2 linked regions of the Arabidopsis thaliana genome follow. The protein of the gene in region 2 interacts with the protein of the main gene of each other region in a biochemical or structural test. Each region holds a gene or a part of one and is shown on either strand. Other genes may lie near its edges.

The links.
Region 1: of the proteins of PCNA1 (region 2) and RAD5, one has a biochemical effect on the other in vitro, tested with the Arabidopsis thaliana proteins (one study listed by BioGRID).

What each region holds. Positions count from the first base shown.
Region 1 is NC_003076.8:7,565,055-7,572,899, forward strand, and holds the start of RAD5 (DNA/RNA helicase protein), read right to left. Parts: upstream 6,056-7,845; 5' UTR 5,818-6,055; coding exon 5,281-5,817; intron 5,198-5,280; coding exon 5,064-5,197; intron 4,975-5,063; coding exon 4,839-4,974; intron 4,698-4,838; coding exon 4,644-4,697; intron 4,558-4,643; coding exon 4,411-4,557; intron 4,325-4,410; coding exon 4,173-4,324; intron 4,097-4,172; coding exon 4,012-4,096; intron 3,902-4,011; coding exon 3,632-3,901; intron 3,516-3,631; coding exon 3,369-3,515; intron 3,262-3,368; coding exon 3,106-3,261; intron 2,732-3,105; coding exon 2,664-2,731; intron 2,571-2,663; coding exon 2,448-2,570; intron 2,339-2,447; coding exon 2,239-2,338; intron 2,157-2,238; coding exon 2,044-2,156; intron 1,816-2,043; coding exon 1,537-1,815; intron 1,426-1,536; coding exon 1,225-1,425; intron 1,142-1,224; coding exon 1,048-1,141; intron 954-1,047; coding exon 882-953; intron 679-881; coding exon 580-678; intron 443-579; and 2 more. Other genes in the region: AT5G22760 (PHD finger family protein), read left to right, coding at 6,581-7,359, 7,740-7,845. UniProt on the Arabidopsis thaliana protein: Functions in error-free postreplication DNA repair or DNA-damage tolerance (DTT) pathway. Required for homologous recombination (HR) induced by DNA double-strand break (DSB) in somatic cells.
Region 2 is NC_003070.9:2,261,154-2,265,351, forward strand, and holds PCNA1 (proliferating cellular nuclear antigen 1), read left to right. Parts: upstream 1-1,883; 5' UTR 1,884-2,050; coding exon 2,051-2,369; intron 2,370-2,561; coding exon 2,562-2,714; intron 2,715-2,797; coding exon 2,798-2,895; intron 2,896-3,007; coding exon 3,008-3,229; 3' UTR 3,230-3,400; downstream 3,401-4,198. Other genes in the region: MAC5A (CCCH-type zinc fingerfamily protein with RNA-binding domain-containing protein), read right to left, coding at 1-255, 587-810, 932-1,201, 1,538-1,642; AT1G07380 (Neutral/alkaline non-lysosomal ceramidase), read right to left, coding at 3,676-3,935. UniProt on the Arabidopsis thaliana protein: This protein is an auxiliary protein of DNA polymerase delta and is involved in the control of eukaryotic DNA replication by increasing the polymerase's processibility during elongation of the leading strand.

The sequences.
Region 1 (7,845 bases), on a different chromosome or scaffold from region 2:
TTTCACTGTGCAAATTTGTCATATTGAGTTAACTATATAATAGTATAAAGTTACAGTTCATTATAAATGAAAAAGTACAAAAAACAATCTGATTTCCATTACAAAACAACAAAACCCAGATAGGCTTATGGTACACTTGGGAACTCTCACTGCACATTCCCCAAAACTGTGACAATTGTCCATCATATCTCTTGAAAAGAACAAAACCCGTTTTTAGATGCGTTATAATCTCTGATTCTCCTTGCATATAGTGTGACAAGTTTCCCATATATGTAGAATTGTATGATCGACTTCAGGCTTGAGAACAGTTTCTATAGTTTCAGGTAAATAACATCTTGAGTTCCTCTATACGTGCACTTCGTACTTCTTGATCGGTTAAAGCCCCAGAGATCATTCTCTGCTTCCTCGCCTGAACCGCCTCCATTCTCTCTTCAACCGTTCCCTAGGATTCACAAAGGCAAGACATACAAGTTTCTAATGATCATTACTCAGCAACAACATTTTCTGATTTTGGAATAGTTTCAGTGATTGGTCTTTATATGGTTAATGGGGACTAACTGCTGAGAAAGAAGAGGGTACCTTAACGATGAATCTTCTGATTTTGACTTCCTTAGTTTGCCCTATACGATGAATACGCATAACAGCTTGTTCCTCTACCGCTGGGTTCCACCATGGATCCTATAGGACATAACTTGGTTTTCTTTACAACTGAAACTTCTTTAAAACCTATTTTGTATTGTGCAGTACTCATTCACAAGCTTTTGAAACAAAAGGTGGCATGAACTACTACTCGATTTTCATATTTTGGATGAGCTATTACATGGTCTAAATCCTATAGAAACTGATATGATCTTTCATAGATATCTATAGATATTCCATACCATGACAAAAGCATTGGACGCAGCTGTTAGATTTATCCCAACGCCACCAGCTTTTAGAGACATCAACAGTACCTATCCAACAATTGAAAAGGAGACTTTTTAACTTCAATTTCGAAACTAGAAAGTATAAGTATTGAACATTGCAATGTAATGCGACTGCACCAACCAGGATACTGCCATCTTCGGAAAATTCTTTAAGGACCTTCTCTCGTTGCTGCTGACTTAGCGTGCCATCAAGACGGACAAATGAAAAGTTATTCCTGGAGATAAAATTGTGCTATAATTTAGATTCTTAAAAACAATTTATTCTCATAACTACCATAGCAAGCCAACAATGGTATACCGAGAGAGGGGAATTTGGAGGAGATCGAGGAAAGCGGTCCACTGGCTAAAGAGAATGCTCTTAGAGCCTGAAGAACGAAGACCTTCAAGCTCTTCCAGAAGAGCAGTGATTTTCGATGATTCCACCCAATTCTTTTCCACGTCAACCTGGAATCTACTTTCGGTTGGTGCTGTGATGAGTTCTTGTTTGCTTACAGTGTTCCTGAAAAAAACGATTCATCATTCATTATTTGCCAAATTAGACCTTACTCAGACACTCATTGGAATCAACAACAGAAGAAAACTAGTAATCGCAGGAACAACTTCAAGATACCTACACACAGGACATAACCCAGAAGTAGAATTTCTCCAACTTGCCAAGAGACACTCACGACATAATCTATGAGCACATGGCGTTAATACAGCATCCTCAAGTGCTTCAAGGCATATTGGACACTCTCCTTGCTCTCCTTTGCGCAGTTCCTCTACCACCTCCTGAACAAAAGCCTCTGACGGTACATCTTTTCCTTCCCTTTCTAAGCCAGAAGACTTTCCACTAAGGAAACGTTTAGAAAGCTTATTCAGATCAGAGTATTCCGCTGTATCCCCTCGACTGGATGCAAGAAAAACAAGAGACTGTTATAAGAAATATGGCAATTGCGTCAACAAAATGTCAAACAGAAACAAGGGCTACGGATGCATGTTTCTTATACCAAATTGCCATTATCTACGATATGTTATTGGATATTTTATACAACGTCATGCAACAGATTAAGTAGCCATGGAAGTTAAACCCAGCAATGTGTATCTATACTAAATAAAAAGCCAGTAAAAGCCACACCTCATTACTAAAAATGGGTGATCACAACATTGTCGAAGACGCAAAAGCAGTTCCAGGATCGAAGCATAGTTATGAAGAACTTTGCCTTGTTCAACAAATTGATCAAATTTGACCTGAAAAAGATCCGTCAGCATCTTCAGTATAAGGCATCTTAATAACTAAAGTTCGAGTAAATAATCCTAAGGAAAACAATACCTTGGATCTTTTAAATAGCGCGTCGTAGAAATCCCTCTCAGACTCCGAAAGTTCACAGTAAATGACCCGTGCATCAGCAGGGGGTAGAACAAGAATCGGCCTAAAATAAACAAACAAGCTTCAAATTAACCGAGGAAACTCAAAGGAAAATATTATGTTTTATAAGCACAGGAAGTTATACAGTAATCTATTATTTGTAGTATTCCTACCTTCCTTCTCGGTCTGTGCTAGACTTTGTTCTCCTAAGCATGATAGGTTTTAAGATAGACTGCACTAGCTTTAACCCTCTCTCATCACCCTCTTCAAATGGCTTTTGGACAAGTTTATTCCACCTAAGAATAAAATATGTTCCAAATTAAAAAGCTTCAAGTAATTCCATACCAAACGTTATGTGTTTCCAACCAAAGATAGATAAGGACCCTTACCATGCCCAAGTTCCCCATGGTTCAATCCTCAAAAACCGTAGAAGGCTGTATAAATCCTCCAGATTGTTCTGTCAATAAGATAACATGTGAAATGATCACAAAGTTCCAAATAGGACAAAAAATTACTATTCACCATCCATTTGAATGAACCAAGATATCATGCCAGCAGACATATGGATACCAAAATTGCAAGCCATATGAAATAAATCTTCAAAGACAACTTTGTGAGATAAAGTCGAGACTTGTGTACAATAAATCATGCACAACAAGTTGATATCCTTCTAACAGAGATTTAGACCATTCGAAACTCAGGTGAATAACAAATGTCCAACTACTAAAATTCTTCCATAGATAGAATGGCAGTGTCCTAATAAAGTTTGGTCTATAGGACGGTCAAGAACAAAGATTTTCTTTCTAAACCCTAGACAAAAAGACCAATCACCTGAATAGGAGTACCCGTAAGACACCAACGCCTATCAGCAACCAGAGCTGCAGCAGCCAAGGAAATTTGGCTTTTTGAGTTTTTGATGGTATGTGCCTCGTCAAGAACAATCCTAAACCATCGAACTGCATAAATTCCTTCATGGTCTGCTGAGTTCTAAGAAGAAGAAAAACGAGAGAAGATAAGAAAATGTTCATGTGATGCTTTTATAAACTATATACATGGAATAATCCATGACCCGAAGACTCTTGTATGAAAGATACCTCTTGCGAGAATTCGGATGTTAGAACTCCATATGTGGTGATTACCACATCACTCTGGGAAAGAAGTTTTGCATCCTTCGGCCTGCTTTGCCCATAGTGAACATAGACAGATAGAGACCCAGGCTTTGCATGCATTTCAATCTCTGTCTGATCATAAAGCAGGAGCAAGAAAATATTAGCTGACACAAGGAAAGACAAAGAACAATTAACAACTTTGACGGATAACCAAACTATAGTGTGCACGTGCATTAAGCATGGAATACCTTCCACTGTCCTAAAAGTGTCATCGGACATACAATCAGGTTACCACCATTTTGAAGTACACTTTTTTGTTCAAGAAGCCTCTTATCAAAGCCTAGAAATTTGGTTGCCTTCACCGGGGGACTAGTGAGATCATCTACAGAACTGCTGATCACTTTGTCTCCTTCATAGTTGGGGCATAGAAACCCAGTTGATGCAGCTTTCCAAGAATGGGCAAGCAAAAGGGATATGGTCATTACAGTCTTTCCAAGACCCATTGCGTCTGCTAATATCTACAAAAGTTTTAGGATATAATATTATTACAAAACAGCTATATAATAAAGTGACAAAATCTAAACAATAAATGAAAGAAATTTTTATAGGTGGGGTATTGAGATCATACTCCTCCTCTTGCCATTTGAAGTGTGCTAGGGAAGTGTATTGTAGCATCACCAGTAAAAGAATTCAGGTAGACAACCAGTTCCCTCCTATTGACATAAAACAGATAGTAAATATCTTATCTGACTCGCACTAAAGTTCGAAGGCAATAGAAATATCACTCACTTGTCTGCTAAACAGTATGCTTCCCAACACGGGTGAAGCATTGTTGCTGCCTCATCAGTGCAATTTCCTTTCTCCAGTTGGGTCATCCAATGAAGTGCCTGCTTTTGGTATGGACGAAGCTCACACAGAAGTGTATGTGGAGTTTCCATTTCCTGTTGCAAAAATTTTCATGCAATTTTCCAAAGGAAATTTCCAGTGTTGGATATAAGTAAGCAAGAAGTCTTGAAAATGAGAATACCTTTAATCCAGAACTGTCCCCAACACCAACAATGTTATCAAGATCACCATCGCTGATACACTGCTCATTTTCATCTCCGTTTGCATCTTGATTCATATTCTTGACCTTGTTTAATTGAAGCAACGAAGTAGGAATAGCAGAACCATCCTATTTCCATAGGGCAGAGAGCAAATGACAAATTTTACAGGCAAGAAGTCAAATTTTAAGATGCTAATATAATAAGTAATATTTACCTTGGAACTCAAAGGTCGCTTCTTAGAGTAAAAATCCTCTGGAGTAAACTCTGCCTAAATATGATGAAGAATGGAAAAATTTCTTCGTCATCTCAAGATTATTCAGTCACATCATATGAGAAGTATATGGGAACTACAAACTGCAATCTATAAAAGAATCCGCATATCAAGTTATAGGCAAGGAATAACCATTACCTTCTTAAAGGGGATCAAACCGAGTAACCGAAAGAGATTTGGGAGAGGATGGAACATTGATTCCTCTGCCGTATTACTAGCTGTCTTAAATGAAGTCGCACTATGCTTTTGAAACATGGAACTATTAATGTACACGCTGTTTCAAAAACAAACTCACACCACTTCAAACACTAATGCATCTATCCTGAAATTGTAAACGGGAACACAAAAGTTTTGTATGCATACCTTACAGACAGAAGAATTGTATCCATGATGCTCAAAGCTTCAGGCGCCGACTTGCAACTGCCTTCTATCCTAATTTTCTTGTCTCTCACAAGTGGTAGAAGACACCGAGCCCACTCGTTTGGTATTCTACCAATCTACCACAAGAGCCCATCATAGTTAGTTAACAATTCCCATCTAACAAACTTAACATAGCAAATAAAAAAGATGTGAAACACACCTCTCCTGAATCCTTTGTAGAGAACCTAACGATATCAGAAGCACCACGCAAAGCTGGCCTTCCCCGCCCAAAACCGCGCTTCCCAGGCGTAGTCTCAGGCTTTAATCCTTTACTATGCGGAAACGTGAACACCAATTCATCACCAGACTTCAATTTCCTTCCTTTACATGTCGATAACCCAGCCAATTCAGAACAACCAACAAACCACCACTCATTCCCTGAAACACTCTCTTCTCCTCCACCATTAACACTCTCATTTTCTTCCTCCACGCGATGATTCGCTCCAACACTTCCGCTGTCACCAAAAGTACAGCCCTTTAATCCACTATCAACTCGCTTCCCTCCATTAGAGCCGCTCGGGGTAGGAGTGGCTACATCAGGTTTGGCGAAACTTGGAGTGTCGAAGATTATATTGATAGCAGCCGTTGGATCATGATTCGCCATGTGTAAAGCCCTGATTATATCCATATCTGAGTAATCGGAACCCACGACTGATCTGACGGTGGAAACAAGATCGTCTGAGACTTTCGTTCCCATTTCCAAAACCCTAATCCTACAATTTTCCAGGGAAATTTTGAAACTTTACTGAAAATTCAGTGAGCTTGTGGCTAAAGAACGCCGGAAAAAGAAAACCCCAATGTAGTACAGTGGCGAATTATAGAAATTGAAGTAGATCGACGACGACGGCGTACGAAATCTGCCGGACCCGAGAAACGCGCGTAAATTAGCGACGAGTCTCTCAAATTCCCGCCATTATATTGTTTTTTTTATTCAAGTGATGAAAATAGAAAGGTAAATTCAAAAACGGTGACGTTTTAAAATCCCTAACGGGTCTAGATCCGGGTAACCCGCATCCCGAGTTGAACTCAGTTTAACAATTAGACCACAAAAATCTGCCATTAACTCAGAAGTGAGAAGTGTAGTAGAACCATTCGACACGATTGAAAAAGCTCATCTTTTTTATTTCTATGTCTCTCTCTTTTGGTTACGTAAGCTCTCTGTCCATATGCTTCATTGATGGTGGTGGTTATCAAAATCTAGCAAGGTTTTAGCTTCAATTCTGTCCATATGTTTATCCATTTCCAAGCTCAGACGTGAAAAGATTTCAGATTTATCGCTGGATCACGGCTTTGATTTCTTTTGCTTCAGCTTTGAATTTGATTTCTTTTGCTTCAGATTTATCGGTGGATCTTAGATTTTGATGTGGGTATATGGTTCGATTTTATAAAAAGAAGTTAGATTTTTGGAATCATAGAAAGGGATAAACGAGAATTGAAATCTGGGGATTGATTTGGATCTGATGGAAGGAAAGGTGGCTAAACCTAGAGGTAGACCAAGGAAACGCCCCAGACCAGAGGATCTTAATGGGGTATCTAATCGAGGGAAGAGGCCGGTTTTCGAGGTGAAAGTGGCTGTACCTAGATCTCTTCTTGGTCGTTATGTGTTGAAAGATGTTGATGACAGTGGAGTTTTTCTTGGGAAGATAGTTTCTTACAATACTGGGTTGTACAGAGTTGAATATGAGGATGGTGATTTTGAGGATTTGGAAACTTGTTATCTTCGCCAGTTAATTATTGGGGATAGTTACTTTGATGATGAATTACGTGCTAGAAGGAGTAAATTAGACGACTTTATTCTGAAGAAGGACGAAAAGAAGAAAACAGATTGCCTGAAGAACAAAGGAGTTGAGGTGCCCACATGTAATAGCCCAAGTTCTGTGGCAGAAGTTGAAAGTGGTTATTCATCTTGTGGTTTGCCTGAGTGTGAAGATGACATAGATCCAGATTTCGAAAGTATGTCTCCTCTTGTTCCACCAGTGGAGTTGCCTTCTTCATCAGGAACAATTGGTATCCCTGAGGAGGCTGTGGTGTATCTATTATCTGTATATGGGTTCTTAAGATCATTCAGTGTTCAGTTATATATCTGCCCATTTGGATTGGATGATTTTGTGGGAGCTTTAAATTTTTTAGGACCTAATTCTTTGTTGGATGCCGTTCATGTTGCCTTGATGCGGGCACTGAAAGGTCATCTTGAGAGACTCTCCTCAGAAGGGTCTGAAGTGGCTTCAAAATGCTTGAGGTAAGCACATACAACTCTTGTCATTTACAGTTTTCAACAGATATTTCTTTGTTTCTTCTTGGAGATGTTTCTAGTTAACTTTCATATATTCCGAGTTATTTCTGTGAAACAGTAAAATTAATTTGTTGGATATCTGAATTTCAAGGAAGCAGAACTGCTGACATTATTTTTCAAGCTAGTAAAAATATACATTGTTATCTTATGTATGCATACATGCAACAAACCTTTTATAACAGCTGGGAGAAAAAGGCCTATGGCTGTACAGGGACTGCAATATAAGCCTCTTATTCATAGTTTAGGTGAAACTTGTTTTAGGTCTCCCATTATCCCATATTTTAGTGGATAACAATTCGGGGGTTTTGTTGCATTGCCATCTGCAGGTGCATTGATTGGAGCTTGCTCGATGCGCTAACTTGGCCTGTTTATTTGGTTCAGTACTTTGCTGCCATGGGACATGCAAGTGGGCCTCTCTGGAGATTTTTTAAT
Region 2 (4,198 bases):
TTGGAGAGCTCTTGCGCAGCCTTCTCTGCACCTTCACGGCTTGTGTATGTGACAAATGCACAGGCTTTATCGGCCAAGATTCTGATAGATTCAATTTCTCCATGAGCGTAGAATTGGTCTCGTATGTCCTGCTCGAGAATTCTCGAGTTAAGTCCACCGACGTAAAGGGTTTTGATGCTTTCATCGTCTGGCGATTCCAAAGTGCCCATCTCACCAGCTTTGCCAAGCAACTTCATAGCAACTGGATCATTAACACTGAAAACGTGTAAAAGAAAATGAGAAACAGTTAAAACAAACTCTTCAACAAGAATAAATGCAAAAGTACTAATACATTACAAAGAGAACTAAAACTGGAAACGACACTATGTAACAAGACTACATGAGAGCCAACATAGCATAGTTCAGTCCAAGAATTCACATATCAGAAGCTTTCAAATATCGAGTATATTATGAATGATCAAGGAGAAAATAGTACTATGGCAGAAACATATGAAATTTTACACTCCTTAGGGGAGGTATCGAAACAACCAATAAAGAACGGAACTAAACGTCAACAAAGTCAAACATACAGAAGAAAAAAGCTTACCCATAATAACGGTCTTTTATGTTTTGCTGGGATAGCTCTCCTGTTTCGGGCATCTCATGCCGGTATGGACATTCAGCACCTCTTGTACACTCACCCCTGATGAAGAAACTACAAACATGTGCTCGGTTCCTCTTATAGTACGGTGTTGTTCTTTGAAGCTTTAAAATAGTATCATTGGGTCGCATCTTCCCGAATGAAGATTCATAATCCAGTCCAGCTCTAGCCTACATAACAGAAAAAGCAAAATCACTTAGATAAGCCACCATGAGAAAGCTAGAGTAAGTCTTCAAAATTCTCAAACCAACAAATGCTGAAATAAAATCGTGAGTGTGAACATGATCATACCTTCCTGTCATGCTCTTCAGCAAAATACTCTCTGTTGACATCACTTTTAGGGATAGAGTCATGAGTACTAATGTTGAGTGCTGTGTCTCTTACTTGAACTGGAAGACCATACTCAAGATCCAGAAGACAGACTTGACAAACATTTTTCAACTTGCAGCAAGTCTGACAAATTTCGGTTTTCTTGTATCTAGCATCCCGGCCAGGTCGCCACCTAAACACCGTGAAAGGTCGTGTACATATCTTGCATTCCTTATCATAATTCGCTTTGGTCTACATATCAACAGATAAAACGTCAATCAGAAATCAAAACATCGAGATTTTCAGAAAACAAAATTGCAGCTGAAAGCTAAGAGAATCCGCAGCTGTAATCAAATCCAACTATAACTAAACGAATTTGGATGTAAAACCCAATTTTTCGATGAATTTGATAACAAGCTAAACCCTAAAACCATATTTACTAAGTTAACCACTCCAATATACAGAAAACATCAACGAGCAAGAGACTGGTTAAGAGATGAGATCCGGAAATAAGATTCAGGAGCCATTGAAACAAAACAAGCAATAGCAAAATCCAAGAATGTTTGAGAGAAGGAATCGAGAAATCACCATTCGCACGTAGGGGTTGTCACCGAGACAAGATTCGCAGATGATTGGGAAATCGGAGCGTTCCCATCCATCGGCTTCATGATCTCTCAGTATTCTGTGAGCCATTCTCTTATCCTCTGATTCGATTAGTCGATATCAAATCTCGAACACGAAGGAGACGACGAGATTTTAACTAGGGCAAAGTCGGTTTTGGATTCGCGTGTTTTTGTCTTTTAAATATTACAAATAAAACCCTAAACTTTCACTACAATTCGAAATGAACTTTTCTTCTTTTTATTAATACAAATTAACCCTCTAACTTTTATAATGACCAAAAATATCCATCCAATTCTTAAAACGATTGAGGCCGGCACTAGCGCATTGGCGGGAACCAAATAGCTTAGAATGGCGAAATCCCGCCAGAAAAGAAAAAGCTTATAAATCGGACTCCTTGACCTTATAGTGTCAATCCACTTTCCAAAATAGCCGCAAACGATTCTCATTGTGAACTCTGATAATATCTAAGACGACGAAATGTTGGAGCTACGTCTTGTTCAGGGCTCGTTGTTGAAGAAGGTTCTAGAATCAATCAAAGATCTGGTGAACGATGCGAATTTCGACTGCTCCAGCACTGGGTTCTCACTCCAAGCTATGGATTCGAGTCACGTTGCTCTGGTGTCTCTCTTGCTAAGATCCGAAGGCTTCGAACACTACAGATGCGACAGGAATCTCTCCATGGGGATGAATCTCGGCAACATGTCGAAGATGCTCAAATGCGCCGGAAATGATGACATCATCACCATCAAGGCTGATGACGGCGGCGACACCGTTACCTTCATGTTTGAGAGCCCCAGTAAGTTTATTTGCTAATTGACTGACTTACTCTAATTTCTGGTTTCTATGGGTTAAGCTTGTACGAAATGGTGGAATGATTGATGGAATAGAATGATTTAGTTCTCTTAGGGGTTGTATATAGTTTCAAGTTTCAAAAACTTGGTTTAGACCTAGCTGCTTTTAACTTGGTTTTGTGTTGGATGATTTACAGCGCAAGACAAGATTGCTGATTTTGAGATGAAGTTGATGGATATAGACAGTGAACATCTGGGAATACCTGATGCTGAGTACCACTCAATCGTGAGGATGCCTTCCAATGAGTTTTCCAGGATTTGCAAAGATCTCAGTAGCATTGGTGACACAGGTACATTGCTGCATTGTTTCTATTCTCAATCTGGGTTGTTTTTTTTAGTCTAAATAGAGATTGACCTGATGTTATTGTTGCAGTTGTGATCTCTGTGACTAAAGAAGGCGTGAAGTTTTCTACTGCCGGTGACATTGGAACCGCTAACATTGTGCTCAGGCAGAACACAACTGTAGACAAGGTATTAACATGTCTAACTCTTTGCATAAACCTATGATACTGTTGACAAATCCTCTACGGCTGTTTCATTGGAGTAACATGTTAAATTGAGGCTTTTGTTTTGTGTATTGCAGCCGGAAGATGCAATTGTGATAGAGATGAAGGAGCCAGTGTCTCTCTCATTTGCCCTGAGGTACATGAATTCCTTCACAAAGGCAACTCCATTGTCAGACACAGTGACAATCAGCTTATCGTCGGAGTTGCCAGTGGTTGTGGAGTATAAGGTTGCTGAGATGGGTTACATTCGTTACTACTTGGCTCCTAAGATTGAAGAAGAAGAAGACACTAATCCCTAAGACCCCTTTTATATCCACAATTTCTCTTCATTCTAAAATGTTGAAGATTTATTGACAATGTTGGTGTTTTTTTTTGGTGAGATTCCTTTGTATCCCCCCTCTAGAATCAGTTGTTTTCTTGACTTATTATGTTTTATGATAACAAAGTTCAGCAAAATTAGTTGTCTTGAAACTATGACCATTCATCAACAAACTAACTCCACTTTGCAAGATAATTTATACACTAACACAACCGTAGTTGCCTATACCTGGATACTTAAACTGTATGTGAACATTGACATGAAAAGGTATATTGGATTCCATTAGACTTCTCAACATCAGTTCTTTGACACCATTCTGTACTCTCTGGCTACATTTGTGTAGTACATGCAAGTGCACAAGACAGTGCATCAGGTAAACCTAGTATAATACAAGTTTACTATGTATCTACTTTGGTTTCTACTTGTTTATGTTACAACGAAAGCACTAGAAGAGCCTGTGAAATGATGGACTGACCCAAAAAGCTTCTTTGCAGCACCAAAATGGGTGATCCTATAAACCCCTGGTGATGCAGACTCGGGAATTCTCCATTCCACAGTGGCCTGACTCCGGGAGCTCAGCTTTTTATGCCTCGACCACTTGAACCTCAGACATAGATCATCGTCGTCATAAACCGGGGTCCAAGTCTTGTCCTTCTGCTCTAGTCTCTCCACCAGTGTAAACGTCCCTGTCATGAACATAGTATCTCTTCTTAGCATCAAAGTATGACAAGTCACTTATTTTGAAAGGATCCATCACTAAGAAGTAGACATAAGCATATGCAATTTTAGAAATTTATGAGCAATAATAACCCATGAGAAATTCACGTCAGCAAGAATAGTTAGTATTTCAATATTTTCACTTTTAAAAGCTCACAGTTTTGCATCAACGCGACTATGCTCCATGGTTAAGGTTATTATCCTTCATCACAGAATTAGAGAAAAAGGGACA